Linked DNA regions of Elephas maximus indicus. The protein of the gene in region 1 purifies or fractionates together with the protein of each later gene. This does not show direct contact. Links are inferred from orthologs where the notes say so. Each region holds a gene or a part of one and is shown in the gene's direction. Other genes may lie near its edges.

What was found.
Region 2: the proteins of ANAPC1 (region 1) and CDC26 purify together in Homo sapiens (co-immunoprecipitation; 6 studies listed by BioGRID and IntAct, with this or other methods). This does not show direct contact. The link is inferred for Elephas maximus indicus from reciprocal best matches to the Homo sapiens genes ANAPC1 and CDC26.
Region 3: the proteins of ANAPC1 (region 1) and ANAPC7 fractionate together in Homo sapiens (co-fractionation; 6 studies listed by BioGRID and IntAct, with this or other methods). This does not show direct contact. The link is inferred for Elephas maximus indicus from reciprocal best matches to the Homo sapiens genes ANAPC1 and ANAPC7.
Region 4: the proteins of ANAPC1 (region 1) and CDC27 purify together in Homo sapiens (affinity purification with mass spectrometry; 16 studies listed by BioGRID and IntAct, with this or other methods). This does not show direct contact. The link is inferred for Elephas maximus indicus from reciprocal best matches to the Homo sapiens genes ANAPC1 and CDC27.

What each region holds. Positions count from the first base shown.
Region 1 is NC_064835.1:40,984,947-40,992,505, reverse strand, and holds the start of ANAPC1 (anaphase-promoting complex subunit 1), read left to right. Parts: upstream 1-4,545; 5' UTR 4,546-4,798; intron 4,799-6,779; 5' UTR 6,780-6,803; coding exon 6,804-7,016; intron 7,017-7,559. UniProt on the Homo sapiens protein: Component of the anaphase promoting complex/cyclosome (APC/C), a cell cycle-regulated E3 ubiquitin ligase that controls progression through mitosis and the G1 phase of the cell cycle.
Region 2 is NC_064827.1:62,535,122-62,542,501, reverse strand, and holds the start of CDC26 (anaphase-promoting complex subunit CDC26), read left to right. Parts: upstream 1-4,367; 5' UTR 4,368-4,497; intron 4,498-6,405; 5' UTR 6,406-6,498; intron 6,499-7,380. Other genes in the region: PRPF4 (U4/U6 small nuclear ribonucleoprotein Prp4), read right to left, coding at 1,165-1,351, 3,172-3,355, 3,910-4,053. UniProt on the Homo sapiens protein: Component of the anaphase promoting complex/cyclosome (APC/C), a cell cycle-regulated E3 ubiquitin ligase that controls progression through mitosis and the G1 phase of the cell cycle.
Region 3 is NC_064840.1:9,000,883-9,008,516, reverse strand, and holds the start of ANAPC7 (anaphase-promoting complex subunit 7), read left to right. Parts: upstream 1-4,612; 5' UTR 4,613-4,695; coding exon 4,696-4,796; intron 4,797-7,634. UniProt on the Homo sapiens protein: Component of the anaphase promoting complex/cyclosome (APC/C), a cell cycle-regulated E3 ubiquitin ligase that controls progression through mitosis and the G1 phase of the cell cycle.
Region 4 is NC_064837.1:53,067,063-53,073,931, reverse strand, and holds the start of CDC27 (cell division cycle protein 27 homolog), read left to right. Parts: upstream 1-3,850; 5' UTR 3,851-4,096; coding exon 4,097-4,123; intron 4,124-6,869. UniProt on the Homo sapiens protein: Component of the anaphase promoting complex/cyclosome (APC/C), a cell cycle-regulated E3 ubiquitin ligase that controls progression through mitosis and the G1 phase of the cell cycle.

The sequences.
Region 1 (7,559 bases):
AAACACTGACTCGAAAAGGGAAGCAAGACTAGGACTCGTATGGGTTCGGTGGAGACAACAGAGTAATGAATATTTAGTGGGCTTCTTTCAAGAGGCGGGTACTTCTCAGAATGGCAGTGTATATTAATTAGGTTGTGTGCATCTGGAATCTAAGATGGAACCCGCTGATATTCAAGATGGAGTCCTCTCGGCAGCCTTTGGCTCACTTATTATGGGATATAGCACAAGCACACTTGATCTTCGGCACTACATCGCCATCTTTGGAGAGCTAAGGAAGGTCAAAGAGCAGTCACACTCTGCTCCTCTGTGCGTGTGGAGCCTGCAAAGGAGAAGGGGACTAGATAGTACTTCACTACTGCCTCAATCTTATCTCATGTTGACAGGGTGGGTTCCTGTTTACCCAAATTTTGGATGGTAATCTTTTAAAAGCTAGTTTGTTCCACCAGCACAGTTAACCTTATCTGTTTCAGAAGGTCTGAGTGGAGACAGCTGCGAGGGCTCAGAGGCGAGGAAAAGCCCTTGTATAAAGGGGCTCCACACATCCCACGTTTCACTCCCTTGGCTAAAAAGGGTAGTTTAAGGCCTTAAACTTACTTATCAGATAGATATTAGAGACTATACTAGGCAGCTTCTGAGATGGTACCCAATGGTACCTGCTTCCTTGTGTAATCTCCTTCCCTCAAGTGTAACTTGCTTCTAACCCTCCAAGGGGATGGAATGTCACTCCTGTGATTAGATTATATAAGACCGTGACTTACATCTTGCTAGCAGACCCTCAGAAATAAACGGCCATGTTGGGGAGCTCCACATGGCAAGGAACTGTGAGTGGCCTCTAGGAGCTGAGGTGGCCTCTGGCTGACAGCAAAAATTTGAGGCCCTCAGTCTTACAACCACAAGGAACTGAATTCTGAGTAAGCCTCAAAGGACACAAAACCCCAGCCAACTCATTGCGTGCAATCTGTTGAGACTTTAAGCAGAGGACTGAGCTAGGCCATGCTTGGACTCCTGACCCACAGAAATGGTGACATAAAAAATGTGTGTTGTTTTAAGCCATAAAGTTTCTGCTACTATTATTATGCAGCAAATGATAATAATACAGTCTTATATTTTGCAAAAAATTGATTAAAATTTAGAAATAGGGATTTTATTGTTTTTTTTGCATAGCAATTATATATGTGGAGTTTTGCTAATTATCGGGGGTGTTTACACCAACAGAAGAGATCTATTTTATAATACTGGGTATACCTGTGACAACTGTTTTTTAGTATGTGTCATGGATTGAGTTATGTCCCCCCAAAAATGTGTGTATCGATTTGGTTAGGCCATGATTCCCAGTATTGTGTGGTTGTCCTCCATTTTGGGACTGTAATTTTATGTTGAGAGGATTAGGGTGGGATTGTAACACCACCCTTACTCAGGTCACCTCCCTGATCCAAAGTCAAGGGAGTTTCCCTGGGGTGTGGCCTGCACCACCTTTAATCTCTCAAGAGATAAAAAGAAAGGGAAGCAAGCAGAGAGTTGGGGACCTCAAGCCACCAAGACAGCAGTCCCGGGAGCTGACCGCTTCCTTTGGATCTGACATTCCTGTGCTGAGATGCTCCCAGTCCAAGGGAAGACTGATGCATCACAAGGACTTTCCTCCAGGGCCGACAGAGAGAGAAAGCTTTCCCCTGGAGTTGGCATCCTGAATTCAGACTTCTGGCCTACTGGACTGTGAGAGAATAAACTTCTCTTTGTTAAAGCCATCCACTTGTGATATTTCTGTTACAGCAGCACTAGATGACTAAGACAGTATGCTTCAGTTGACTTCAAGTTTTGTGAATCATATACTAGAAAATTGAATATATTCATAAAATATGGTTGTTAACCCACTTACCATATAAATGAACTGGCAGTGAACTCTATTATTTTCCCTTTCCTTTGTACCCTGACTTTTGGGTCCTTTGTATCCAAAATGTAATTTCAGGAACTCTTAAGGTAATTTGAGGAGGCCTGGTAGTGCAGTGGTTAAAGAACTCAGCTGCCAACCAAAAGGTCAGCTGTTTGAACTCACCAGCTGCTCCACTGAAGAAATATGTGGCAATCTGCTTCTGTAAAGGCTGTAGCCTTAGAAACCCTATGAGGCAGTTCCACTCTGTGCATTAGGGTCATTATGAATTGGAATCAACTTGATGGCAATGGATTTTTAAGGTAGTTTATTTGGAAGCCACAGTTAAAGTGCAGTGAGTTGGCTGTCTGGCCTAGGAAACTCCTGGATTTATGGTTCGAGCCCCATGAGCAGAGGGGTTAGTGGCAGAAGCAGAAGGATTTGCTTACTTAAGAAACTGTCAGATCATGAGTCCAAGTAATGCTGTTAGTGACAACGCTGTTAGACCGATGTCTGACCATGAGTGTTGCAAGGAGCAGTGGGGCCAGTTCTGCTGTTCTGCAGGGAACACAGCAATGTTCTAGCCCCAAAGGACTGACTGGTGGTCTCTGGGAGTACTGGAGGGGAGCTATCGGTGTAGACCCTGGTGTCCTCACAGTGGACATCATCAGGTAAGGCCTCAGGGAGGCCCCTTAAGAAAATTTCTTGAGCAGGCAAGATAACTTGAACAGGCAAGGGAAAAAGCTGGGTAAATCCTTTCAGTGACTCTACTTCACAGCTGGATAATTAGCAGTATAAAAACACTCTTTGTGGACTGTACTGCCTGAATTCCTTAGAAAAGGGAGCCAGAGGCAAGAATGATTAGTGCTGATGCTTCATGTGGGTGGTTCAATCTCTAGACCGAAGAGAATGAATGAAATGGGAAAATGAGGCAGGGGAGCTTGAGAAGTAATGCACTGGATTCTGCTTCATGGGACGCCAAAGCCTCAGCAGACTGCCTGGCAGGTGCGCCACTCTGCCGCACAGGACATGTCCTGACAGGTATGCAGAAAAACCAGGCCTTAGAGTAGTTCACAGGAGGGAGGAAGAAAAGGGATTTTATACATCTGGCTCCTTCCTGCTTGTTCCTATTGATGGACATTTGCCTTGATCACAAATTACTCCCTATACTTTAGGTTATGTCTTCTGGCCCTTTCATAAGGCAGCTGCCATTCCCTGTGGGGGAGGCAGGAGAAGCCATAGTTGAGTTTTAGGGAGTGCCACGCATTGTCCTGGCTTCACAGCAGCAGCCAACGGAGAGGGCTTTGTCCTCTGTGGCGAGTGCCTGGTAGTGGGGCTGACAGGACTAGTGCAACCATGGGTGGCCTTTGGGGCAGGCCATGGTGGCAGCTGAGGTGGACAAGAGGCTGAGGATCTGGAGGATGGTGGCAATAAGAGACTCTGAGATGCATCTGAGGTGTGTCCTGGTGCAGGTTCTACCAGAAAGACCTGGTGGAGAAGGAAGGTAGGGACCCTGTGGGGGGAAATACATAAAGGATAAGAGAGGGCATTTGGGATATGATTGTTAACTTGACCTCATTTTATCGTCGAGCCAGGAAAGTCTGGTGGTATTTTGATTTCAGGTAAATGACTGGTGAAAGGCAGTTGTGCCCAAAGTTCTGAGAAACGAAAGGCTCCTTCCTGTTGGTGTGAAGCCTCCTGAGAAGAGACACTTGAGCTGAACCCTGAAGGGTGACATGCTAAGTAAGGCATGGCAATGAATACAGAGAGTAAGGCCATGAAGTGCAAGGTGTGTTTGGGGAATCCCAGTAGATGCTTTTAGCGAAGTCATAAAGTTTTAGCCAACTTTACATTTCTGGGTAAGCATTTGAAGTTTATTCCTAAGCACTAAGAGGCCTGTCAATAGTTTTAACTTGGCAATACGGGATTGTTGTTGTTAGCTGCTGTAAAGTCAGACTGACTCATGGGAACTCTATGCATTACAGAGTAGAACTCCTCCACAGGGTTTTCTTGTCTGTAATCTTTACAGAAGGAGATCCTCAGGCCTTTCTTTCATGGCGCTTCCATGGTTCCAACCACCAACCTTAGGTTAGCAACGCATTGCAAACCGCTCGTGCCACCCTGGCTCCTAATTGGGATTAGAGCTCAAGAAAGTTTCTGGTTTCCATAAATGTGATATTGTACAGTTGAACCCAGACAGGGAGGGGGGGTAAGGCTGGAGTTCTTAACCTGGGTCTCTGAATCACCTGTGAACCTCTGAAATTGCACGTTTTTTGTTAGAGCCTTCATACCTTTCACCAACTTTTCAAGGAGTCTGGATGCCTTGTGGTGCAGATTCACTCACGTAGAACGAAGATGAGCAGGGCCCCAGAGCCTGGAGGCACGTACCTCCATTTGGGGCCAAGGAGGCAGAAGCAAAAGCAGCCAGAAAATCTCATAACTCAGAGTCAGGTGGCAGTTCAAGCTCGTAGTGACATGATCTAGAGAAGATCTGCGTCAGGAGGGTGCCATCACACGTAGATTCTTGGAGTCGCTCCCGCTTCGGGACTCAGTGCTGCCTCTTAAGGCGGTTGGAGGTAAGGTCTTCGTGTTCTTCAGGCAACTGCGCAGGCGCCAAGGCCGCCGGGCGCCGCGCGCCTCCCGCGGTGCCCGAACCGCCCCGGCGCGAGGGAAGACGGGAAAGTCAAGATGGTCGTGTCAATTTAAACAGCTTCCGGAGCTGCTCGCCGGCACGTCAGCCTGCTGTTAGCTGTCGCGCCTGGTACTGCAGCCCCTTTTGCCTCCGGAGTAGGGGAGAGAGAGGGATGAGAATCAACGAAGGCTGAGGAGTCACCGTGACCGACCCCGCCGCTGTCCTCAGGCCCCTCCGGCCCCCGCGCCTCCGGGGAGCAGCCGAGGCTCGCCGCGCCTGACGCGTCCCGAGTCACACAGGTGCGGGTGCGGGGCTGCGGAGCCCAGCGGTCCACCTCCCGCCGCGCGCCCCGGGACCCTCATCCCCGCCCCGATGCCGGCCGGTGCCTGCTGACCAGAGGGCTGGGAGGCGGGTGGTGGGCTCCGACGGCCTTGAGGGCTGTACTTTTTGGGTGCGCCTTCCCGGTCTCCTCCTCGCTAACCAGTCTCTCGATGAAGCCCAATCCCTCTGAGCGGATTCTCTGAGGCCTGGGTTCTTAGCCCGCTGCCTTAGTCGCCTGCCAGAGGGGCCGAGAAGCTTTGTCTTTTTGCTGAGACTCAAGCCAGGGATCGTTGTGTGCACACCGTTCAGTCTTACGTTAGGTTCTGTTAGACTTTTAGGGGGAGAAATTGGTCACAAACTCATTGTTAGGCCAGCCCTCTGCTCCCTTTTCAGGATGATCTTTTAATCTCATGTAGGAAAAATTTTGATTTTTGTCATATTAATTTAACATAGTACGTTTCTGTATAGCTTTTTGTGTTGCCACTAAGTCAAGTAAAAACACATTTATAAAAGTTCGGGGTACTGTGAAAGTATTAAATTTGTGTTCATAATCTCAGAACGAAAGTAATGTACTGGGAAAGTAATTCTAGAGTTTTCCCTGCAGTGAAAAGAGAATAACGTTACAAAATTACACGAACTTGGATAAAGTCACAAGTTCTTTTATATCGGTTATCCTTTGGAACAGGGTATAGGAAGACCAGCTGAATTTTGTTATTGTAAGTTTTATAAAGCGTTATTTTAGTTATGTCCAAAGTTGAAGTGACTTTGTTCTCAGTACTGATTTCTAGCAGTAGAGAAGAAACGAACTTGGGTTGTGTTTTGCACTGTACAGTAATCTCAGGACTACCTTTTAATTCACAGTGGAGTAACTTAACCACTCTAAAGGAACTGCACAGGCTTTGAGGTGTTTGTGCAGCACAGAAAACAAACAACTGATGCCAAAAAGACCTGAGATGAGAAGTCTCAGCCAAATCTAATGAAATCCTCTTACTTGTGAGCACTGTTTTAAAATGTGCTTTCTAAAAGTTGTCTACGGTGCTGACATTGGATGTTTGCCTTGACGTTTGTGTTTGAGGATTGCAGCCTAAATATGATGCCATGAGATCCATTTTTAAGGCAGTCCTGTTGCAGACAGAACCGAAATCCACCTCGTATGCCATGTTATGCAGTGTCAGAATTTTACCAGTTGTCAGTTACTTATGTAGAAATATTTGGGAGGTAGAGGGGCACGTCTTGACCCACAGCTCATTCAAATCTGCCAGTAAATCTAATAAACTGCAATAAATTTTGCTAATTAAAAGCTAGGACTCTTAAATCTGCTGTTAAGTCAGATATAAGCCTTCTGTTTCATGGGTAGAGTTACGTATGCCTTGGTTCCCTGGGTTTGGACCAGTAAGTGGGGTGTAGTTATAGATTTAGGTGGAATTGGGGTGTCAAAACTACTGATGACATTTTGATAGCTTATTAGATCTTTTGTGGATTGGTTAACTGAAAGCAGTAGTTCAACCTCTGATGAATTAGAGTAATATGTTTTATCTCATTCCAAATGCCATCAAGCCTTTAGGTGTGCTTTTTGAATTAGACTCCAGTATCTGAGCAGAAATGACCTTGAATGTTGAGAAGCCATGCAGTCGTGGGACCATAAAGTACAATGTGTTTTCATACCTTCTGTGTGAAGTATAGAAACGTTATGGGGTAGCTGTGGGACATGAGTGCTTGTCTTGACTCAATGGTTTCCTACAGTGGTAGGTTTATTTTTCAGCTAGTGTGTGACTAACGTGACATCTACCTGTGAGAGTCAGATCTGGAATGCCCTTTGATGTCAGGATTACTTATATACCGACAACAAAATGGAATTATTTGATACTCATCAAAAGATTGATGACTGTAAACTCTTATGGTATTTTTAGTCTGATTTTGACTCTAGAAGCTCACCAGAATGTGTTTGAATTCCTACAGAAATAATGTTGATATTTGGAACCCATGTCGAACGTCTATGAAGAAAGGGCAACGATGATTGCAGCCAGGGATTTGCAGGAATTTGTCCCTTTTGGTCGAGACCACTGCAAGCACCATCCCAATGCTTTGAACCTTCAGCTTCGCCAGCTGCAGCCAGCCTCTGAGCTATGGTCCTCTGATGGTGCTGCTGGCTTGGTGGGATCCCTTCAGGAGGTCACAATCCACGAGAAACAGAAGGTTCCATTAATTTTCCCATCATATTTTTGTAGAGTGATGTAATATAATTGTAATTTAAGGCTCCCCTTAAATTGCAACTGAGAAATGAGTATAATGTTACTTCTAGGGTGGTGGTTAAAACTTGGCCATTTCCATCAAGGCTAAGATAATGACTTTATTGTATCAGTGTCATGGCTACTTATTTTGTCATATGTAACTCACTGTGATTTTATGATGAGAATCAAGCTCTTTACTGTGATTGTGCACCATTTAAAATCTCTTTTTACTTAGTTTGTACTGACTGGATCTCATGTTATTTGGGGATGAGTTGGGAGAGGTTTAGAAATAGCCCCTGATGAAAAAGACCTACATGTTTTTAGAGGAGAGAAGAAATATCATGTCAGTAGGTAGAGCAGTAGTTCTTAAGTAGGGAAATGTAAAATAAGTGTGTCAGAAAATCATAACCCCTGTCACCTTACTCCATTTTCATATGTCCCATTGGGGAATACCAAAATCTCAGGGAGGGGAAGTCTGAATATAAAACTCACTCTCTTCCAGTTAGAC
Region 2 (7,380 bases), on another chromosome or scaffold:
CAGAGGCGAGGAAGATTTTCAGCCAAGAACTGTGTGAATGGTAGAGCCATTTGCTAGGAGAATAGAAGGGGGTGGGGAACAGATGAGTTCAATTTACACATGTCAAGTTTGAGATGCCTTTGGGATACCTAGGCTTACTAACAGAGATTTGGGAGTCATCAGAATATACACAGCAAATGATGCCACATGAATGGATCTGATTGCCCAGGATGAGTATAGGGTGAAAGCAACGGACTACAGCATACAAACGTTGACAGGTGCCACTGAGCTGGTTCCAACTTACAGCAACCCTATGTACAACGGAACACACTGCTCGGCCCTGTGCCATCTTCACAATTGTTGCTAGTTTGAGCTCACTATTAAACAGGAAAAAAGAGGCCTAGAAGGCAAGTGAGAAGAGTTACCCAGGGACAGGAAGAAAATCAGGAAGATGTAGTCTTATGAAAATCAAGGACAGAGTGTTTCAAGAAGGGAGTGGCTGGCATAGTACTCGGACTATATCAGTAAAGATGGGTTGGTGACCTTGATAAAGAGCAATTTCAATGTAGTAGGGTAACTTGACAACAACAGAGCTCAATCAGTTTGCAGTGGGCTGAGGAGTAAATGAGCAGTTAGGAACTGAAGAGAGTAAATGTACATAACTCTTTGAAGAAGGTGAAGGGGAGAAAAGGCACAGCAGTTAGTGATGGATGTGGAGACAAGAGACAGTTTTCCTAACTGCATATGACTAGTATATCCATAAAACTTTTCAACCTTAAATTACAAGAAGAGCAATATCTTAGGAGAGTGCCCTTCATTAATATCTAAAAAAATTTATTGTGTTTTATGTAGGTGACAAGAAATATATTTGACGTCTAAATTTTCAAAGCTCAGCCACAAATGTCACCCAACTCTAAGCTGTGCGTGTGTGTGTGCGCTGCGGGGGGGAAGCAGGAGAGAAGCACGTTAGTACCTTCTTCACAGCTTATAAAAAAAATTACTAGTGGTGTAAAAATTGTTCTAAGATTCAAATTATGGGCTAAACTATATAAACGCAACTTAATATGTCAATACTATTGGAGACATTGTATTAGAGTTTCAGCTACGAAGACTGACAAATTTGGAACTAGAACCTTGTGATTAAAAAAAAAAGAAGAGTAAATATTTAGGAATTAGGAAGGGCACCTCTCTCTTCTTTCAGCAGGGCCCTCTCCAAAAAGTGTGATGGGTTCTCCCAAGGCTCTAAGGCAAGCCTTGACCTCTGAGTCATCTGTGGAAACATTGATTTGCCGGGCTCGCTTTCTTCTCTCAAACTCAGCCAATACTTCTGCCTGTCGCTCACTGATGTGTTCTTCAATTTCAAACACTTCTCCTATAAAAAGAACGGGCAACTTCAGTATAATCACCAGATCTTCAAATAGAAAGAGATAATTTCTAACAACTGTCGTCTACGTATGCCACTAGGGAAAGGCAACTGTCCAGTCTAGTACACGTTTTATAGATAGTTTACCATTTTTCAGTTTACTAAATTACGTCAAATACGTAAAACTAAATGACACAGCTTTAAAAGGCAGGAAAGTGGTTCAAGTCATTTTGGCAACCTTACACCTAATAAAAACACATAACTTAGATGGGATCAGAGGGTAAGGATACAAATCCCCGAAACTATGGCCCCTGAACACTCTGCTAACCCAGAACTGAAAACATTCCTGCAACCCACTTTTCAAACAAAAATTAGACAGGCTATAAAACAAAATAACACCCGTGAGACCAAAAGGGCAACTCTTGTTCAAGAGCATGACGAGAAGGCAGGAAGGGACAGGAACTGGATGAATGAACATACGGAACCCAGAGTGGAAAGGGGGAGTGTGCTGTCACATGGTGGGGATTGCAACCAATGTCACAAAACAGTATGTCTATAAATTTCTGAATGAGAAATTTACTTGAACTGTAAACTTGCACCTAAAGCACAATTAAAAAAAAAAATACATGCTGGTATATCTAAAAAAATAACAAAATGTGAATGACAAGAAAAAAAAAAAAAAGGAGTATAAAACATCTTTACCAAAGCCCTTCTATCCAAAAGATAAAATAGAAACACTATTTTAGTAATTGCCAAAGTTACTCTCTAACAGTCCCAGTATAGCATAGAAATACAACTAGTTAACTGAAACTAATTACTATGAAGATGAGCTTTCCATGATTATAAGGCTTTTTACAACCTAACAACAAGTTTTAAAACCCAAACCAAATATGAGCATTTTGATGAAAAATAAGAGGTACAATAGTGATGCAATTGTGTTTGAAAACAGCATAAAAGGTTAATGGGAGGCTTGACAAGAAACTTTCTGCAGAGGAGTCTTCATTTTATATTCTTCTGTACCATTTAAATTTCTTATGACAACCGTGCATACTTTTATTTTAAAAAATACAGCAAACTCCTCGGTACTGACATGGAACAATACCCGCAGCAGCATACAGAGTGAAAACACAGGTTACAAAACAATTTGTACATCATGGTTTCATTTATGGAAAAAAAATATGTATTTTTATAGCTATATTAAAATTCTCAGAAAGATACCCAGTTGCCATAGAGTCGATTCAGAATCATGGTGACCCCATGTATGTAGGAATAGGATTACACTCCACAGGGTTTTCAATGGCTGATTTTTTGGAAGCAGATTGCCAGGCCTTTTTTGAGTAGCCTCTGGATGGATACACACCTAATTAATAAGGATCACGGGATTTTCTACTTCGTACATCTCTACATTTTTGATTTAACAAAAATAAAAACAGCTATTACTTTTATACTTAAAAAACACAGGTTTCACTCTGGCTGAAAAATAATTGGAAAACTAAAAAAAGGGAGAACGTTATGAACCACAATAGCTCCAAACCAATGCCACAACTATCCTAGCTCTCTAGAAGACAAACACAATCAATCTGAGCCCAAATACCTAAACATCTGAGTAAATTCCTAACAATCCACGGAACAAAAAACTGTATAAAAGATCCTAAGAAACAGGCTCTCCAAATGATGCTAAGGGTGGTAGGCAAAGTATGGCCTTACAGGTGCAAGTTTAAGAATTGAAAACTTTAGAGACCACAAAACTAGTGATAATTATCTAGGAAGGTATTCACTATAGAAAATTTGAGCATCAAACGTAAAGAGAGACTCAAATTGCATCTCACCAGAGGTTATGTTAATATTTCCAGCTTCGATTCCTGCTTTAAGTCCTTCTTTCCCCAAAATTCCAGACTCTCCTTTGGCCAGACGTTCCCTCTCCTTCTCTTCCAAACTTCCATAATAGATGTGGGGTTTCTTCACAACAGGAGCAACTAAGTCATCAGGTGCCTTAGAGGTTTTGGTTCCCTGCTAAACCAAAGAACTGAATTAATTTAAGGCTTAATCTTAGCAATCTACTAGGCGTCCCCAAAGCTCATCCTGAGCTTCAATCCTATTTCCTCCCCGAATGAAAGGGCAAGTTGGACACCAGTTAAGATGTTCTTCCCTGATTTGAAGGGTGTTTCCATCCCTCCATCACTTAAGTTTTGCAGACAGGTAGCAGAAGGTCGATAAAACTAATGAATTTCTCTTGGTGATTTTTCTATCAACGTTTTACTTTGGAATCTGTTTACTTCATGTCGGTTGGAAGTGCAATCTCTTCTTGGGTTTTATGAACCTTCTAAGATTATTGCTTATCACGAGGGAAACAGCAAGGATTTGGTTGAAATCTTTTGAATGAAAGGCTGGTTATTTGAATGAAATAGCTAACCAGGTGCTAACGTAAATTCCTGGTCTATACATTTCAAACGACAACAGATACGGGGTTAGGAGGCCTCATTACAACTGACATAGACGTGAATCTTGACCAAGACATTTCCCTCCTTCAGGTCTCCGCTTTGGGACCAGTCGGAGGAAGTGTTTACCGTTCCAGGGCTGTAGCGAGAGAGACGAAAGAGACCAAAGCGTATGAAAACGCTCAGGTACCAGGATAGCGCTGCTCGGCTCCATAATGGAACAATGAGTACCGCAGTCTCTCTCCCTCCTCCTCCCTCCACCGCCTTATCCATTTCCTAGCGGCCCCATCCTGCAGTAATCACTCGGCGCTCCCTGCCACAGTAAGCAGAGATTCCGAGTTCTGTACCGTGGAAGGAGGTCGTGAGGCGGCCATGCCGGGCTCTGGAGCCGCAAACTCCAGCGAAAACCGAGCGGTACGTTCAGACCGTCCACCGCGCGCCCAGCAAAGCGGAACTACGTCATCGACCGGAACTGGGCCTAGAACCGGCGCAGCGACTGGGGTAGCGCGGAGCTTGATGGGAATCGTAGTAGGGTAGATTCTCGTCACGTCTGGAGGCGTGACCTGTGCAGCTTCCGAGTAAACCACGCGGGAGACAAGAGTCTGCAGAGAGAGTCTCAGAGAAGTCTGGGAAGTGTAGTCCACTCGTTTTAGCGGTAGATTGGTGATGGGCGCTAAGGTTCCGGGAAGGGGCTGAGCTGAGCAGGCTTGAAAGGAGGTATGTGTATGCAGTGGCGCGACTCCGGGCTGAACCTTGGAGCTAATTGATGACTTCCGGGGCCTGCAGTCCCTCCTGGGCCTACGGGAGACTTTATGTTGTCCTGGAGCGGGGGACCTTGTTGCCGTGGAAACCATCGCCCTGAACCCCTGAGTGCTTCCCTGGCTCTGGAGGAGGGTTGTTGCCTGCTGTCCGGAAGCCCTCCTAAGGACTCCCTCTGAGTTGTGAATTTCTGGAGGATTTGGGCAGCGGCTGGAGATTAAGCTCGAAGAGCCCGTTAGCGCCAAAATAAAATACTGGGCGGAGGAGCCATGGCCTGATTTGGTTGTTAGCTCTCCACCGGTCTTTCTTTCAGATTCAGAGTGAGGTGATGGATATGAAGGGGACAGGTAAGGTATACACAGGCAACTCTCGGCACAGCCCTGTGCCCTGCTGCGTGCTGGGGCATCAGAGATTATACAAAACAAGGTTTTTGCACTCACAGGGTGAATGAGGGAGCCTCAGAATACTGGTGTTAGCGGAGCTGGATGGAGGCGCCCCTCTACTGAGGAAAATTACGATAATAATGAAACCAAAAACCAGTTGCTGTGGAAACATACTGACATGTGGTGACCCCAAGTGTGTTACAGTAGAGCTGCGCTCCATAGGGTTTTCAGTGGCTGATTTTTCGGAAGTAGATCACCAGGCCTTTCTTCTGAGGCAGCTCTAGGCATACGCCAACCGCCAACCTTTCCTTTTGCCCTCTAGCGTTGGCGTTTCCTAAATGCCAAATTATGTGCCAGGAGGTTGATCTGCCTTATGTCATTCAGTCGTTACCACAGAGTACAGATACAGGGAAGGAAACTAAGGTCTAGTGAGAGCTGATACTAATTGTTCACCGTCAGTGGCAGAGTGGGAGCCCCAGCACTTTTAAACCATTCCTCTACACAACTTCCTAGTGTCCAGCTTTTCAGTCTGCAGAAAAGCTAAGAAAACTTATAGCACTTTTTTCTCTTAAGTATTTACCCTTCCTTCCGCCTCATGCTTTCTTTGGAAATTTGGCTTCTTCTACCACTTGTTTACATTGGAATCTGGTAGAAGAGTCTATCTGATTTAGTGCAAAGCAGTTTGAAATGTAATGTGCCAGAGTTTTATGTTGGTAATATCAGTCCCAAGCTTCATGGGAAGAGGAAACATACCTTTATTTGCATACTTCACAGTCCCTAGCTACAAATAAAAATTTATGTCTGCACATACTTATAAAGGGCATTCTTTTACACTATTCTCATTTAATCCTCATCCTGTGATGTATGTGTGATTATAGGAGGCCCACATTATTAGCCAAAATTGAACAGCTTGCTTCAACTTCTTTATCTGAAAAATGGGGATAATTTTGTCAGCTTCACAGGGTTTCTGTGAAGATTAAACTAAGAATGTAAAGAAAGGAGAGGAAAATCTTAGAACAGTACTCAAAAAAAGTTCATCTCACGTTCTCTATTAGATCTCTCATTTTATTCAACAAGTATTTACTGACTACTTGATAAAAATACATTCTACTGGATGCTGTGGAGAATGTAAAGATAATGCCATCAACAGATGTTAAACTCAGTTGTGGGAGTTTTGTTTTCTTCTCAAAAAATACTTGTTCTTTTTGTTAACACAAGTATTACCTTGGGTTCTTAGACTGTGTAGTACTCTCTTAAGCCTCTGCAAACTCCTATCTGCCTGGAATGCCTTTAGTCCCCTTTCTCTGCTTGTCCTTCAGAACTGAACTAAGACGTCCTCTTCACTAGGAAGCCCTCCTGACATTCCTGCCCACCCCACGTTCAACTGGGTTTAGGTGCCTCTGTGATGCCATTGTATTAGCCTCATCAGAGTTCTTGTTATTCTGTGTCGTAATTTTCTGTTTCCTTGACTGTTTCCCCACAGACTGTGTCCTTTAACTCTGTAGCTGAAACACAAGAAGCGTTCACTGAATAAATGACTTATCCATTCAGACTCTGAGGATAATCCTGTGAACTGGTGAGTTAGAGGGAGTTTTCATGAAATGTAGCAAACTTCAGTGTTCTGGAGTGATCAGAAATCTCTGACAATTCTCATGTCTAGTGGATTAAACTTAATGGCATGTCCACTCTCCCACTTCTTGTTCGGTGCCGTCGAGTCGTGTCCGACTCGTAGCGACCCTTTGTACAGCAAAACGAAACGCTGCCTGCTCCTCTGCCATCCTCACAATCGTTGCTATGCTTGAGCCCATTGTTGCAACCACTGTGGCAGTCCATCTTATTGAGGGTCTTACTCTCTGGCTGACCCTCTACTTTACCAAGCATGATGTCCTTCTCCAGGGACTGGCCCCTCATGATAGCATGTCCAAAGTACGTGAGGTGAAGTTTCACCATCCTCACTTCTAAGGAGCTTTCTGGCTGTACTTCTTCCAAGACAGATTTGTTCATTGTTCTGGCAGTCCAATATTCTTCACCAACACCATAATTCAAAGGCACCCATTTTTCTTTGGTCTTCCTTATTCATAGTCCACCTTTTGCATGCATATAAGGAGGTTGAAAATACGATGGCTTGAGTCACGTGCACCTTAGTTCTCAAAGTAACATCTTCGCTTTTTAACACCTTAAAGTAAGAAAGAAAAGACCAAGGTGGATGTCAGAGGAGACTCTGATACTTGCTCTTGAGCATCGAGCAGCTAAAGCAAAAGGAAGAATTGATGAAGTAAAAGAACTGAACAGAAGATTTCAAAGGGCCTCTCGAGAAGACAAAGTAAAGTATTATAATGACATGTGCAAAGAGCTGGAGATGAAAAACCAAAAGGGGAGAACATGCTCAGCGTTTCTCAAGCTGAAAGAACTGAAGAAAAAATTCAAGCCTCGAGTTGCAATAGTTAAGAATTCCATG
Region 3 (7,634 bases), on another chromosome or scaffold:
TTCTCCCACGGAGCGGCTGGTGGCTTTGAACCACTGACCTTTAGGTTAGCAGCTGAGTGCTTAACCTCTGAGCCACAAGGGTTCCTTATGTAACCTATGTGTTTTTATTTTTTGAAAGCTTCATTGACGTATAATTTACATACAGTAAAATTCACCCATTGTAAGTGTACAATTCAATGATTCTTAGTAAATTTACAGAGTTGTGCCGCCATCACCACAATCCAGTTTTAGAACATTTCTGTCAACCCAAAGTGACCCCCGTGTGGTCAATCCTCACTCCCCCACCCAGCCAGACAACCACTAATCTACTTTCTGAGACATTTCATAGAAATGGATGCATAGACTATGTGGTCTTTCACCTCTGGTGGCTTTCACTTAGCATGATTTTCAGAATAATTTTTTTTTTCAGATCCATTCATGTTTTGGCTGTACTTTATTCCCTTTTATCGCTGAATACTGTTTCATTGTATATGCCACAGTTTATCTATTCATCAGTTGATGGACATTTGGATTATTTCCACTTTTTGGCTATTATCAGATGTGGTTTTACTTACAAAATATTTCAAATGTAGAAAAATATATAATAGCAAACATGTAGTGCTTAGGAGTCGCTGGGTGGCGCAAACAGTTAAGCGCTTGACTATAACCAGAAGATTGGTGATTTAAACCAACACAGAGGTGCCTTGCAAGAAAGGCCTACAATCTGCTTCCAAAAGATAAAACCCCGTTGCCATCGAATCAATTCTGACTCACAGCAACCCTATAGGACAGACTGAAACTACCCCATAGGGTTTCCAAGGCTATAATCTTTACGGAAGCAAACTGCCCCATCTTTCTCCCTCAGAGAAGCTGGCATGTTCAAACCGCCAACCGTTCTGTTAGCAGCCAAGTGCTTGACCTTTGTGCCACCAGGGCTCCCTTCCAAACTGTAACAGCCTTGAAAGCTGCGGAGCATAGCTCTACTCTGCAACACATGGGGTCACCATGAGTTGGAATCAACTCTACAGCAAAGATTTTGGTTTGTTTTTTTTATATGGCCCTTTTTCTTTTACTATGTGCCAGACATTGCTCTGAGCGTGTTAGATACAGTGGTATACTTAGCAAGTTTGACACCCAGAGTAGATAATTTTTACACCTCCTATATCGACTCAAGGGCACTGGGTTTTTTTTTGGGTATGTTAAAGTACATGACAAAATTACTTTTAGCAATGATCCTGAAATGAAAGAAGTAATCGTAATGGCCAGAAAATAACCAATGAAAACATATTTTATCTGAATTTCATCTAAATAATGACAGTAAAAATTTAATAAATATTACAGTATAAAAAGGTAATGGCTTAAAACTTAAAAATTTTTTTCAACAAAAAACAAACCTGTATTTTATTCATTGGTCTGGCACAGAAATAAATATTAGTTTCTATTTTTGTTCCTCAAATTCTGCAACCTTGTCGATCATTTTGTCAAAACTGATTGTCTTGGCATATTCGTACTCAATGAGCGGTAAAAAAAAGTCATCAATCACTGTAGCACAAGCTCATAGGTTATTAAAAAAACACTTATTAATTTTACTTTCAAAGCACCAGATATGCAAAGTTATGAAAAGTCGTAAACATAAGGATAAATTTGTGGAGATTAATAAAAGCCCCATTTCACAATAAATTCCAAAGAGCCACAGGTCATATTTTTTTGGTAAGAAGTGGAGAATATTCCTACTCTGTTTAGCTCAAACATCTAACCTGCCTCGTTCAATTTTCTCCCTGGCCCTCATACGCATCTGAAGTGGCGATCTAATATATTTTGCCACTGTGTAATTAGGTGTTTTGGAAACAGCCATTTAAATATCTGGCACAAAATTTAAGCAGGCGGCCTCAGTTTCTCCACCTGTAAAAAGATAACAATTTCAACCTTACAGACTGATTTGTGAGCAACCCATTCAATGCAATAACTGGTGTAAAACTTTTGTAAAATGTCAACTGTGTTAGACAAATGCTGGCTATTATGAGTACCAGCTCATTTTTGGACGCGCCTTCTTCATTCACTGTGAGCTAGCGAGTCATTTCACAGGGTAAAACTGCCCTTTCGCACGGAAGGCAGCTATCCAGGAGGGGATGTCTGACTCCCCAAGAACGCACGAAACACCTGCCAGGAGGGGGTGTGGCGCCTTCAGTCTAGTGCGCAAGCGCAACAGGAAGAGCAGTTAGGACTGCCCCTGGCGCCTGCTTAAAATATTTAACTCCAGCTTAAAAAAAAAAAAAAAAAAAAATTTTTAATTTTTTTTATTGAGGATTTATTTTAGGTGGACTCGTGGGGTGACACCAAGGACGTCATACCTGAAGAATGCAAAAGATCATTAAAAAGACAGAAAAGAAAGGCCAAAACGGATGTCAGAAAGGACTCTGAAACTTGCTCTTGAAGGTAAAGTAAGTCAAGCAAATGGAAAAAATGACATGAAAGAGCTGAACAGAAGATTTCAAAGAGCAGCTCAAGAAGACGAAGTATTATAATGAAATGTTCAAAGATCTTGAATTAGAAAACCAAAAGGAAAAAACATGCTCAACGTTTCTCAAGCTGAAAGAACTGAAGAAAAATTCAACCCTAGATTTGAAATACTGAAACACTATGGGCAAGATATTTAATGATGCAGGAAGCACCAAGAGAAGATGGAAGATGAAAGGAATACACAGAGTCACTGTACCAAAAAGGACTGGGCGACATTCAACCATTTAAGGAGGTAGTGTATGTTCAAGAACCGATGGTATTAAAAGAAGTTTGAGCTGCACTGAAGTCATTGGTGAAAAACAAGGCTCCAGGAATTAACAGAATACCAGTTGCAATATTTCAACAAACAAATGCAGGGATGCAATCCTGGAAGCACTCACTTGTCTATGTCAAGAAATTTGGTAGATAACTACCTGGCCGACTGACTGGAAGAGATCCATATCTGTGCCGATTCCAAAGAAAGGTGATCCAATAGGAAGTGGAAATTATCAATGTCATTAATATCACATGTAAATAAAATTTTGCTGAAGATAATTAAAAACCGGTTGCAACAGCACATCAACAGGGAACTGCCAGAAATTCAAGCTGGACTCAAAAGAGGATGTGGAATGAGGGATATCATTGCTGATGTCAGATGGATCTTTGCTAAAAGCGGAGTATACCAAAAAGATGTTTACCTTGTTTTATTGACTATGCAAAGGCATTTGATGGTGTGGATCATAACAAGTTATGGATAACATTGCAAAGAGTGGGAATTCCAGAACACTTCTTTGTGCTCATGGGGAAACTGTACATAGACCAAGAGGCAGTCATTCAAACAGAACACAGGGATACTCCCTGGTTTAAAATCAGGAAGGGTGTGCATCAGAGTTGTATCCTTTCACCGCACTTATTGAATCTGTATGTACTGAGCAAATAATCCGAGAAGCTGGACCGTATGAAGAAGAACTGGGCATTGGGATTGGAGGAAGACTCATCAACAGTCTATGACATGCAGATGGCACAACCTTGCTTGCAGAAGGCAAAGAGGACTTGAAGCACTTACTGATGAAGATCAAAGACCACAGCCTTTAGTATGGATTACACCCCAACATAAAGAAAACAAAAATTCTCACTACTGGACCTATAGGCAATATCATGATAAATGGAGATAACCCTGAAGTTGTCAAGTATTTCATTTTACTTGGATCCACAATCAACACCCATGGAAGCAGCAGTCAAGAAATCATATGACATATTGCATTGGACAAATCCACTGCAAAAGACCTCTTTAAAGTGTTAAAAAGCAAAGATGTCACTTTGAGGACTAAGGTGTGCTTGACTCAAGCCACAGTATTTTCAATCACCTCATATGCATGCTAAGCCTGGGCAATGAATAAGTCAGACCAAAGAATTGATGCCCTTGATTTACGATTTTGGAGAATATTAAATGTACCATGAACTACTAGAATGAACAAATCTTTCTCGGGAGAAGTACAACCCGAACGCTCCTGAGAAGGAAGGATGGTGAGACTTGGCTTTACGTACTTCGGACATATCGTCAGGAAGGATATCATGCTTGGTGGAGGGTCAGCGAAAGAGAGGAAGACCCTCAAGATGGATCGACACAGTGGCTGCAAGAATAGGCTCAGGCATAGCAAGGATTGTGAGGATGGTGCAGGACCTGGCAGTGTTTTGTTCAGTTGTACACAGGGTCGCTATGAGTCAGAAGGGGCTGGATGGCACCTAACGACGACGACGTTGAAAATTTTTCAGCGCCCTACTGTATTTTTTCTACTTTTTCAAATTTGATTTTATTTATAATAAATGTGTATACATTAGTAATTAATTTTTGAGGTACACATTCCTCTCAGACTCATCTCACTTCAATTGAGCAATTATTCTTACTGAAAGGTGTTCGGTCCCTAGCCTAGCCCAATGTAAGCCCTCAATAAAGTTTGCGGATTAGGAATGATAACATAATTTTTCCTTACGGGGCGGAGGGGGGATTGCAAATCAAGCGCCCCAGTACGTCACAGGAGGCGCGGGGCGGCCAGGACCTGACTTTTTAAGCAGGCACTACGGAAGTCGCCTATTTTCTTGGAGGCGGTGCCTCACGTGGACCCGATGGACCCCGGCGGGGCCGCCATTTTGGAGGCCTCTCTAGGGCGCCTGTACCGGCCTTCGGTGCCGCTGCCTGCGGCTTCGTCGGGTAGAATGAACGTGATAGACCACGTGCGGGATATGGCGGCCGCGGGGCTGCACTCCAACGTGCGGCTCCTCAGCAGCTTGTTACTGACGATGAGTAACAATAACCCGTGAGTCGAGGCGGGGAGCGGCTGGGCTGAGACAAAGCGGCGCCGGTTTGGGAGCGGGGTGGAGCGGCCGCGGGCCCCAGGTGAGGCTCAGGTGTCAGCGAGGCCTCGTCGGCGGATCCGACGTGGGAGCGCACGGCGAGTTCGCTGGGATGAGCTCCCCGCGGAGGACTGCACGGCGGGAGGTTCCCAGGATTGCCCTGAAGGGGGTCCCCCGAAAGGATTGCCCTGGAGAGGGTCCCCCGAAAGTTGGGAGCGACCGGTTTGCTGAGGCACCTGGCGCCGAGCAGAGCGGCTGTCAGGCGTCGCTGGGCTGAATCCTGCCCTCCCGGCTCCTTCCGGAAGAACGTTTTCCCGCTCTCGGCAGCTCCAGGGGGCCCAGCCCCCTGCCTTTTATTCCTTTTTCCCACCCTTGGGATTGCCTTTCTCCTTTGAATGTCTCGCCTAGACAAGCCCCTGAAAACGGGCGGCTCCCTCGATGATCAGGTGGGAGTGGCGCCTCTTTATGTCAGGTCCCAGGACTCCCAGGAGATGCAGAGCGTGCCCCTTTCATATTCTCACAGCTGCCACTTACTGAGTCTTAGGATGGATGAAGCACCGGCCTCATTCCAGCTGTGATCGCATTGTCATTCCCCTGCTTAAAATCCTCCATTGTGCTCAACATAGCCTGCAAGGCCCAACCCGGCTTCATCTCCTTTGCTCTGCTCACTGCCTTCCAGCCCCCTCGACAGTTCTTTCTGTGACTTAAACGCATCAGGCTTGTTCTCACCTCTGGGCCTTTACACTGCTCTTCCTGCTGCTTCATTCAGTTTTCAGCTCAGATATCCCTCCTGGAGAGCCCTTCTCTGACCACTAGAATTGTCCCTTTTCCCTACTCTTCTAGCCGATTGCTCTGTTTTATTTTCTGCATCACTCTTGTCACTGATGAAGTTCTGTTATTTCATCTACATCTACCTCCCCTGCCAGACCGTAGGCATCATGAGGGCAGGAGCCCTATTAATTGCCTTCCCTGCTGTATCTTTAGCACTTAACCTGGTGTGCAGTAAGCACTCATGTGTTTATTAAGTGTGATAAGCAAGTGGGTACGATCTCTGGTGAAATACCTTGTCCAACTTCACACATTTAGTAGGTGGAGGATCCGGGATGGGACCTTGGTCCTCTCTGCCTCCGTGCTGACCCACCACAGCCTAAATGGCATTGTGGTTGAATTTCCTACTTAGCATGGACCCAGTGTGGTTGGTCTGCTCTAGAAGCAGTCTACGTCAGAAGGGAAAGGCCTTAAGTGCCTGTAGTGCAGCCACTGCTTCCCATTTCATTTCCATGAACGTGCTTTGGACTTCACTCTGTGAGACCCATCATTTTGCCACCATCCACTTAATGCTGACAGCAAGGAGCCCTGGCTTCTGTCAGCCTTCTGTGTTTATTCTGGAGCCTTTCACTTGCTCCAGAGTGATTTGCCAAAGCATATGGTTTCCACACTTGGGATTTATGCACCAGTTAGTCATTACTCATTGTTTCTTTTTCTTTTCTTTTTTTTTTAATTTATTTATTGGGCTTTAGGTGAAAGTTTACAAATCAAGTCAGTCTCTCATACAAAGAGCCGTACACACCCTGCCGTGTACTCCCAGCTGCACTCCCCTTAACGATACAGCACACTCCTCTTCTCCATCCTGTATTCCCCGTATCCATTCAACCAGCTCCTGTCCCCCTCTTCCTTCTCATCTCACCATCAGGCAGGAATCGCCCACATGGTCTCATGTGAGTCTAGGCCAATCCTTGTCTGTAGAGTTGGTTTCAGGAATGGTTCCAGTCTTGGGCTATCAAAGGGTCCGGGGTACTCATTGTTTCTTGAAGAAGTTATAGGATAGTCTGATCCTCGGGCTGCTCTTTAGTTAGCCTAGGCTTCTTCATATGAAGTTCGACTGGCAGCTTCCTAGCTTCTGCCTCTAGAGGAGAATATCAATAAAGAAGAGCAGACACAACATGTATCTATATATTTAAGTTCTAACCTTTATATTTTAAAATTTCTTACTGAATAGACAGTTACATGCTAATAGTTTAAAAAAAGTACAGAAAGGGTTGTTGTTAGTTGTCTCAGTAACAGAATGAAACTATTGCCCCGTGCTCTGTCATCTTATATGCAGATAGTGTCTGTCCCTAGCTCCTGAGCACCACACCACCATTCCCTTCTCCAGAGGCCACAGTTGTTAACAGTTTTTCATGTATCATTCCTGAGAGAACCTCACCTCTGCCCACATAAATAGGCGTGTATGTTACATTATATAAATACCTGAATGTGTTCTGTGTATATGATGATACTTTGTTCTTTATCCAAGCATCAGATACATACTTCTCACTAAATACATAGAATCTCAGAGTTGGAAGAAATCTGAAGTCATCTGCACTGTACCTTACAGTTCTTGAATTTCCTTTGTAACTTGATCTAGTGTTTAGCCTATCCTTTTTTTTTTATTATTATTTTTTATAAGGAGATAGAATTCACATAAGATAAAATTCAACCTCTAAACTGTCGAATTATATGGTTTTTAGTATATTCATAAGGTGTGTAACCATCACCACTACCTTAATTCCGGAACATTTGATCACCCTGCACAAAAAGAAATCCACACCCATTAGCAGTTACTCTCCATCTACCCTTCCCCAGCCCCTGGCAACCACTGCATATTTACTTTCTGTCCCTATTGTACCTGTTCTTGAATACACCTCCATTTGTTGAGAAACTCACTGTCTACAGAGTTCTTTCACTCACTCTGTTCTTTAATTTTAAGCAGCTATAGTTTCTACCTGTCAAAGAAAACCATGTTAAGCTCCTTTTCATTT
Region 4 (6,869 bases), on another chromosome or scaffold:
AGTCTTTGTCATCAATATTTCCCCATCAAGGAGCTTTTCAAGTATTGGCACCCTGGGTCCAAAGGACGCGCCTTTCTCCTGGATCTTGATTGTTGGTGATAGGAGGTTCCCATGTCTCTCTACTCACTTCTATCTTTTATATCTCAAAAGAGATTGACTAAAGACACAACTTAATCTTGTAGATTGAGTCCTGCTTCATTAACATGGCTAGCACTAATCCTGCTTCATTAATACCATGGAGGTAGGATTTACAACACATAGCAAAATAACATCAGATGACAATACTGGGAATCATGGACTAGCCGAGTTGACACACATTTTGGGGGGACATGATTCTATCCATAACATTCTGCATTCTGAACTGATCAGAACAAATCTGGAGTATTTAATCGTTGTTATTGTTGTCGAGTCAATTCCAACTCATGGTGACCCCATATATCCAGAGTAGAACTGCTCCATAGAATGTTCAAGGCTGTGACCTTTCAGAAGCAGATCTCCTGGCCTGTCTTCTGAGGTGCCTCTGGGTGCATTTGAGCTGCCAACCTTTCAGCTAGTAGTTGAGTGCTTAATTGTTTGTGCCACCCAAAGATACCTTGTGTTTAGTTAAAACGGTCAAATTTTAAAAAGTAACATCTCTTATCCATCCCTTTCTTTCCATGCCCACTATCAGGAGATGTCATCTCAGATCTGGTGTGGTAGATTGTTTCCAAAGATAGCCCAGCAATCCCTCCCATCTCACAAGCCTTTGGCAGCAACACTTTGTCAATCCTTGAATCAAAAGGTGGAGTCTGTTCCTCTTCCTAATGAATACGGGCTGGCCCTCCGTCTTATTCTGACCAACAAAAAGTGATGGGGTTTGACTTAAAACCTAGGCCTTAAGGGGTCTTGCAGTTTCTGTTTTTGTCTTCTTGGTTGTCAGCCACTCAAGTCAAGAAGCTGGGGATAGACGACAGACCACGTGAGGAAAAAGGTCACCTGGAAGAGAACTGAGGGGTGCAGCCAACTGCTAGCACCAAGATCCCAGACAAGTGAAACCATCTTGGATCTTCCAGCCCCAGTCAAACACACCACATGGAGCCAGAATGAGCTGCCCCACAGAACTCTGCCTGAATCCCTCATTCACAGAATCATGAACAATAAAATGGCTACAGTTATAAGCCACTAAGTTTTGGGGTGAGTGTGTAGGGAAAGAAGATCAACAGGCAACTGAAACACCAGGATCACTAATATGAGCTCCTAATTATTATCCATCATCTATAGGATCCTTATGAGTTAGAATTGACTGGATGGGGTTTGGTTTATAAATTATTCTCCATGGCATAGCATGGTCCTTAAGTATGGAAGGTGAAGCCAGATTGCCTGAGTTTGAATCTATTTGTTTGACCTTGGGGAAATTATTTACCTTCATTTTCTTCATCTATAAAATGCAGCTAAAAACAGAACCTACCTCTGTTAAGTTGTTAAAAGAATTAATCCAAAGAGTTTGGAATAGTGCTGGGAACATGGTAAATGCTCATTAAATTTTAACTAGTATCATTAATTTTTTTTTTCCAGTGCTATCTGATAGAACTTTCTGCAACAATGGTAATGTTCTACATCTGTATTGTCCAATATTGCAGCCATTTATGTCTATAAGACCTTAGAATGTGGCTCAGGCCACTGAAGAACTAAGTTTCTAATTTAATTTTAATTAATTAAACTTTAAATAGCTGGTGACCACCATATTGGAAAGGAGCCCTGGTGGTGCAAAGGTTAAGCGTTCAGCTGCTAACTGAAAGGTTGGTGGTTTGAACTCACCCAACAGCTCTGTGAGAGAAAGACCTGGTGATCTGCTCCCAGAAAGATTATAGCCTAGGAAACCTTATGGGGCAGTTCTACTCGGTCATAATGGGTTGCTACGAGTCAGCGAACAATAACAATACCGTATTGGACAAAGTAGAAGTCTATTCCCATTCTAATTAATCTAACATGTTGCTGGGTGCTATCGAGTTGATTCCAATTTATAGCAATCCCATATGTTATGGAGTGAACTACCCCATTGGGCTTTCTTGGCTGTTATCTTTATGGGAGCAGATCACCAGGTCTTTCACTCACAGAACCATTAAGTCAGCAGCCGAGCACTTAACCATTTTCACTGCCAGGGCTTCTTTAGTTTAACATAATCTTGCTAAAAGAACAAGGCACAGGGCAGCAGAAAATCACCTTAGGACCTGTCTTTTACAAGACTACAAGTACATAAACAGTAACTAGACATGGTTAGAGAAAGATACAGCTCTATCAGCTGGTGGTTTTTGGTTTTTTAAAAAGACCTCCCTCCGACATCACCAAAAGGAAGGGGGCCCTGTCTTAGTTATCTAGTGCTGCTATAACAGAAATACCACAAATGGGTGGCTTTAACAAACAGAAACTTATTTTCTCACAGCTTGGGAGGCTAGATGTCCAAATTCAGGCTGCTGGCTTTGGCTCTAGGAGAAGGCATTCTCTCCCTGCCCATTCTGGAGGAAGGTCCCTGTCTCTTCTCTAAGATGATAGAGACTTCCCCAATAGCTCTCACTTCCTGTTGAGCCCTCACCGGAACTGCTTTTGACATCCGTAATTCTACCAACACTCTCTTCAAGGTAATCTAGGCTTTTACAATTAGGCACCTTAAAACTCTTCCAGCCTTCATCCATTACCCAATTACAAAACCACTTCCACATTTTAAGTAGCACCCCCACTTCTAACTTGATTTCATCTGCATAAAAATGTGAGAACCAGAAAGAGGATTTTCTGCAAAATGGAGTGCACCGTGAGTGCTACAACTAGCCTACAGATGCACTTAGACAATTAACCTTAAAAAATTTTTCATCTTCTGAAAAACAAAACAAAGTTTTAGTAGTTCCCTGACCCCCTCATTTTTCATTTGGCAGAAAGGAACTTTGAGAGAGCGTATGTGTACTAGACACAGCCACATATATTAACGTACATAATTCTTTTAGTCTTTCATTTTTTTCTCAGACCAAGCAAATAGAAGCTCAGAAAAGTTGTGACTTGCCTAAGGACCCAAAGCCAGTTAGTGCCAGAGATGAAATTCAAAACCAGAACTCTGGATTTTCAATCCCACGCTCTTTCCGATAGATGAGAATGCCTCTCCTATCACACCTTTTGAGATTCTCCATCATCTGGTCACCTAGGTAACTATTTCCAGTTAATGCCTTAACTCTTACCAGACTGGTAGCTCTTCCTCCCTTCACTTACACACGCTTTCTTTTCTTCTACTACTACCCATCCTTTCAAGTCCAGTTTAAATTTCCTTTCATGAAAACTTCATCTTCAGTCCCGATTAATTTCCCTCGCCTCTGAATTTTCACATCATTTCTAATGAGCACCACATAATGTAGTGCTCTTTGTTACACTGCTTTTCCCTTAAAAAAAGAAAAAAACCTTTTTTTTTTTTAAGTAGACTGTAATTTCCTTAAGGCCATACTCTTTCGGGAGGGCGATCCTTCCAAATTTCTGGCGATATTCCTCTGAGCTGGGACAGAGTGACTACTAAACTCAACACACAAATACTTCTTGGTTAATTAACGTCAGCTCCAAACTCTTAGGATTCTACTCTTTGCTTAAAATTACCGCGCGCCAACTAATGCAGAAAGAGTAGCGAATCGAAACTACAGCCCCACCAAGTAACGCGCCCCTTCAGTTCCGTCAAGCCTCGCCCACCCTGGTGGTTGCCGATTGGGTGTGGCCCGGCCTTCTGGTGGCCAATGGGGCGTGACGTGGGCGGGTGGGGGCGTGGCTGAGATGGCGAACCTTTGCTCTGGGTCCGTCTCGGTAAACTCCGGTAATCCTCGACAGTTTCCGGCAACGGTCTCCTCCGCCGCCACTTCTCCTCGGCTATTTCCGGTCCCTTTCGGGCCTTCCCGTCTAGCTCCCGCTCGTCGCTTTTCACTTCGGGTATTTCCGTGTCTCGCTCGGAGGGACTCGGCAATTGCTCGGCCTCCCCCATCCCCCGGTAACGGTCGCTGGTGAGTTTAAATGAGCCGGGGCTGGCCGGGCCGGAGCCGCTACGGGGGGGGGCCTGAGGCACAGCAGAAAGTGGGCTTGAGCCTCAAGGATGACGGTGCTGCAGGAACCCGTCCAGGTAATGATAACCCCTTCTTCGAAGCTCGGCTCGCAGCCTCGGCCAGGAAGCAGCGTATGGCCACTCCGCGGCCTGGTGCGGCCTAGGCCGGGCTGCTTCTCCCGCCTCCCCTGATGCCGGCTCCTGCCTGTCCCTTCGTCAGTGCGGCGGCCTTGCCCGCAACCTAAACCTTGACACCCCGGTCCTACAATACTTCTACCCTAACCTGAGCAGGGTGCGGCTACAATACCGCCTTTCCCCTCGGAGCCGACGTCTGGCCAGCCCCTCCTGTCAGTCTAGGGGCCTGGCCGAGCCGGGGGTGAGAGATGAGGGGCCGAAAACTCGCCCCAGGTGTTCTCCTGCCTGAAGGGCAGTTGAGAATCACCTTTGATCGGAGCTTGTGTGATCCTCATAATGGTGTGGGGCAAGTTTGCGGGGGTTGTTTTTGTTTTACATGAGAGGGTGGAAGGGGAGGGTAAGATCGGCATTTTTAATACTAATTTCTGTTTTGGTCACAGCCTTTCTAGTCCACGTTGCTTTTCTCATTGAGTGAATTTTCCACAGGACAATTCCAAGAAGAGAGCTCTTAAGGCCAGTGCTGAGGTGCAAGCACCTATCCAAAAGGAAGGGGGGGTAGAAACACCAAGTCCGGGAGGTTTTTTTACCCCCCCCACTACCTGTGATGAGGGTCAGGAGTATTTTATCGTGCACGTTTATAAACTGTTTGGGAAACGAAAGACTAGTAATGGCTTTTCCATTTCATTGTCTTCAACATAGCAAGGTATGCTTTGACACACAGTGCTCTGTTGGCATCAAAGAAAGCCTACTGGATTTTAAGTGTGGAATGCAGTGCCAAGTCATTTTCCTCCTTCCATCGAAGAAACTGAATCTTGTGTCCCTTGGTGATCGACCAGGTTTGGGGGACTTTCAACCCACCATATGATCTTTGACTTGATTGGAAGAGTTGACCTCTATCAACTGCTGTCATTGAGTAGTGGATTTTCTTTATTTTAGAGTTACAAAGTGAACTGGTTTTTAGAAGTTACTTCATATTGTCCCTAATAGGCCTGTGGTATCTAATAGTAAATACTTTAATACATCACTACTTCCATATTTCCTTAGTTTTTCTTCATGGCATGAAATACTCATTTCTCCTAGTTTGCCTTCTTCTCTAGCTCTTTACATATAGCAGCTATTAGTGTTCAAATTGATGTATTGTGGGATTCTATTGTAGGAAATTTACTTGTTTACAAGTTAGTTCTACCATTGCTTCGAAAGTTATTTCTTTCCATTCAAATTCCTCTTACTAATAAAGAATCCCTTTTAAGAGTTTTTTGGACCTAACAGGAGATTAGAAGTTGCTATCTGTACCTTCTTAAATAGCTAAACATATTACTTAAATTGCCTAATTTCTGTTTCATATGCTTGTGATTTTTATCTTCTTATCATTTGTTTTCTCTGACCCCAGAAACTTCTAAGTGGTAAAACAGTTTCATTAATGGCATAGAACTACTATTTAGTAATAATACCAACCTGTATAAAAGCATGGAAAAGAAAAGAAATAGGTAGCCTATTCCAAGATAGTGCCCATCAGGTTTTTCTGTTTTCTTAAAGTACTCTTAGCAGTATGCACTTAGATACTTTTAAGGATTAAAAGTCAAATTAAGCTCTTTTTCCCCCACTAGCTTTGTTCATTCTGGGATGGTGGTAATGAGTTTTAGAATATGACTAGGTGAGAATTTTGGGTGTTATTTATAGTATAAAAGGAAGCCACTCAAGAAGGCATCTTGAGCAGTGAGAGGACCAAGCAGCTTGAGCTGTGGTGATAAAGATCAAATTATGAAGGATAGCGCTGAAAATGGGAAAGAATTACTATGGAAGAGAATAAAAATAGGACTGATGGATATGATTTGTTTTTATAAATATTTTTTTAAAGTATAATGTGCATATATCTGGGAAGGAGTGGGAGTAAGTTGGAAAATTACTTTGTTTCCTTTATTGGGATGCCTCAGGGTTCATAGTATTACTCAGCAAAGGAAAAAATTGAGAGGAAAGATGAGCAAATATTTTCTACTTTTTTTTTCCTTTAAAGTTTTAGCTTGGAAGAGTCAGTCTGATATAGTATATGTGCCTAAATATGATGGAGTCACTCCTCTGCCAAATTACCTCTCATAGAAAATTATTATATTTGAGTTTTTATAAAAATCTCTCATATTATGAGGCAGAAGCTCTATCAGTTATTTTATTTTTAATAGTAACTGTTTGGGGGAAGACACATTACTCTAAATGACTTTAGTCAGTACTGGGCTGGCTGTTTATAAAAGTCACCCGATGAAATTGGTTTTTCATAAAAAGGCAAAGCCATATAGATTTAACAGTTATTCCTGGGGGAGCACTTCGTAGTTAGAAGTGTCGGATGAAGTTTAAACATGCCTCAGAAATCACCTTCATAAGGAGTGTAGTACATGGGTACTATATGTACAGTGTCAATGTGGAGATCACTAGATAGTGTAGGAGTACTTTTAGCTTGGGGTCAGATGTCCAGGGAAAGCATCTAACATGGATTCAAAGTACCATATTTCACGTAATTTAGAATTGAGGGTGGTATACTCTGGAAGATCATGTTAGATAACTAAAAAAAGTGGCTCTGATGATAATAGATACTGATGTCAAAGATGCATGTGAACAGTTTGAGTTAAATTGTTTTATGCAATAGGAGTAAAAAAAAATTTTCTGAATATATTTTATGTGAAACTAATAAATTAGT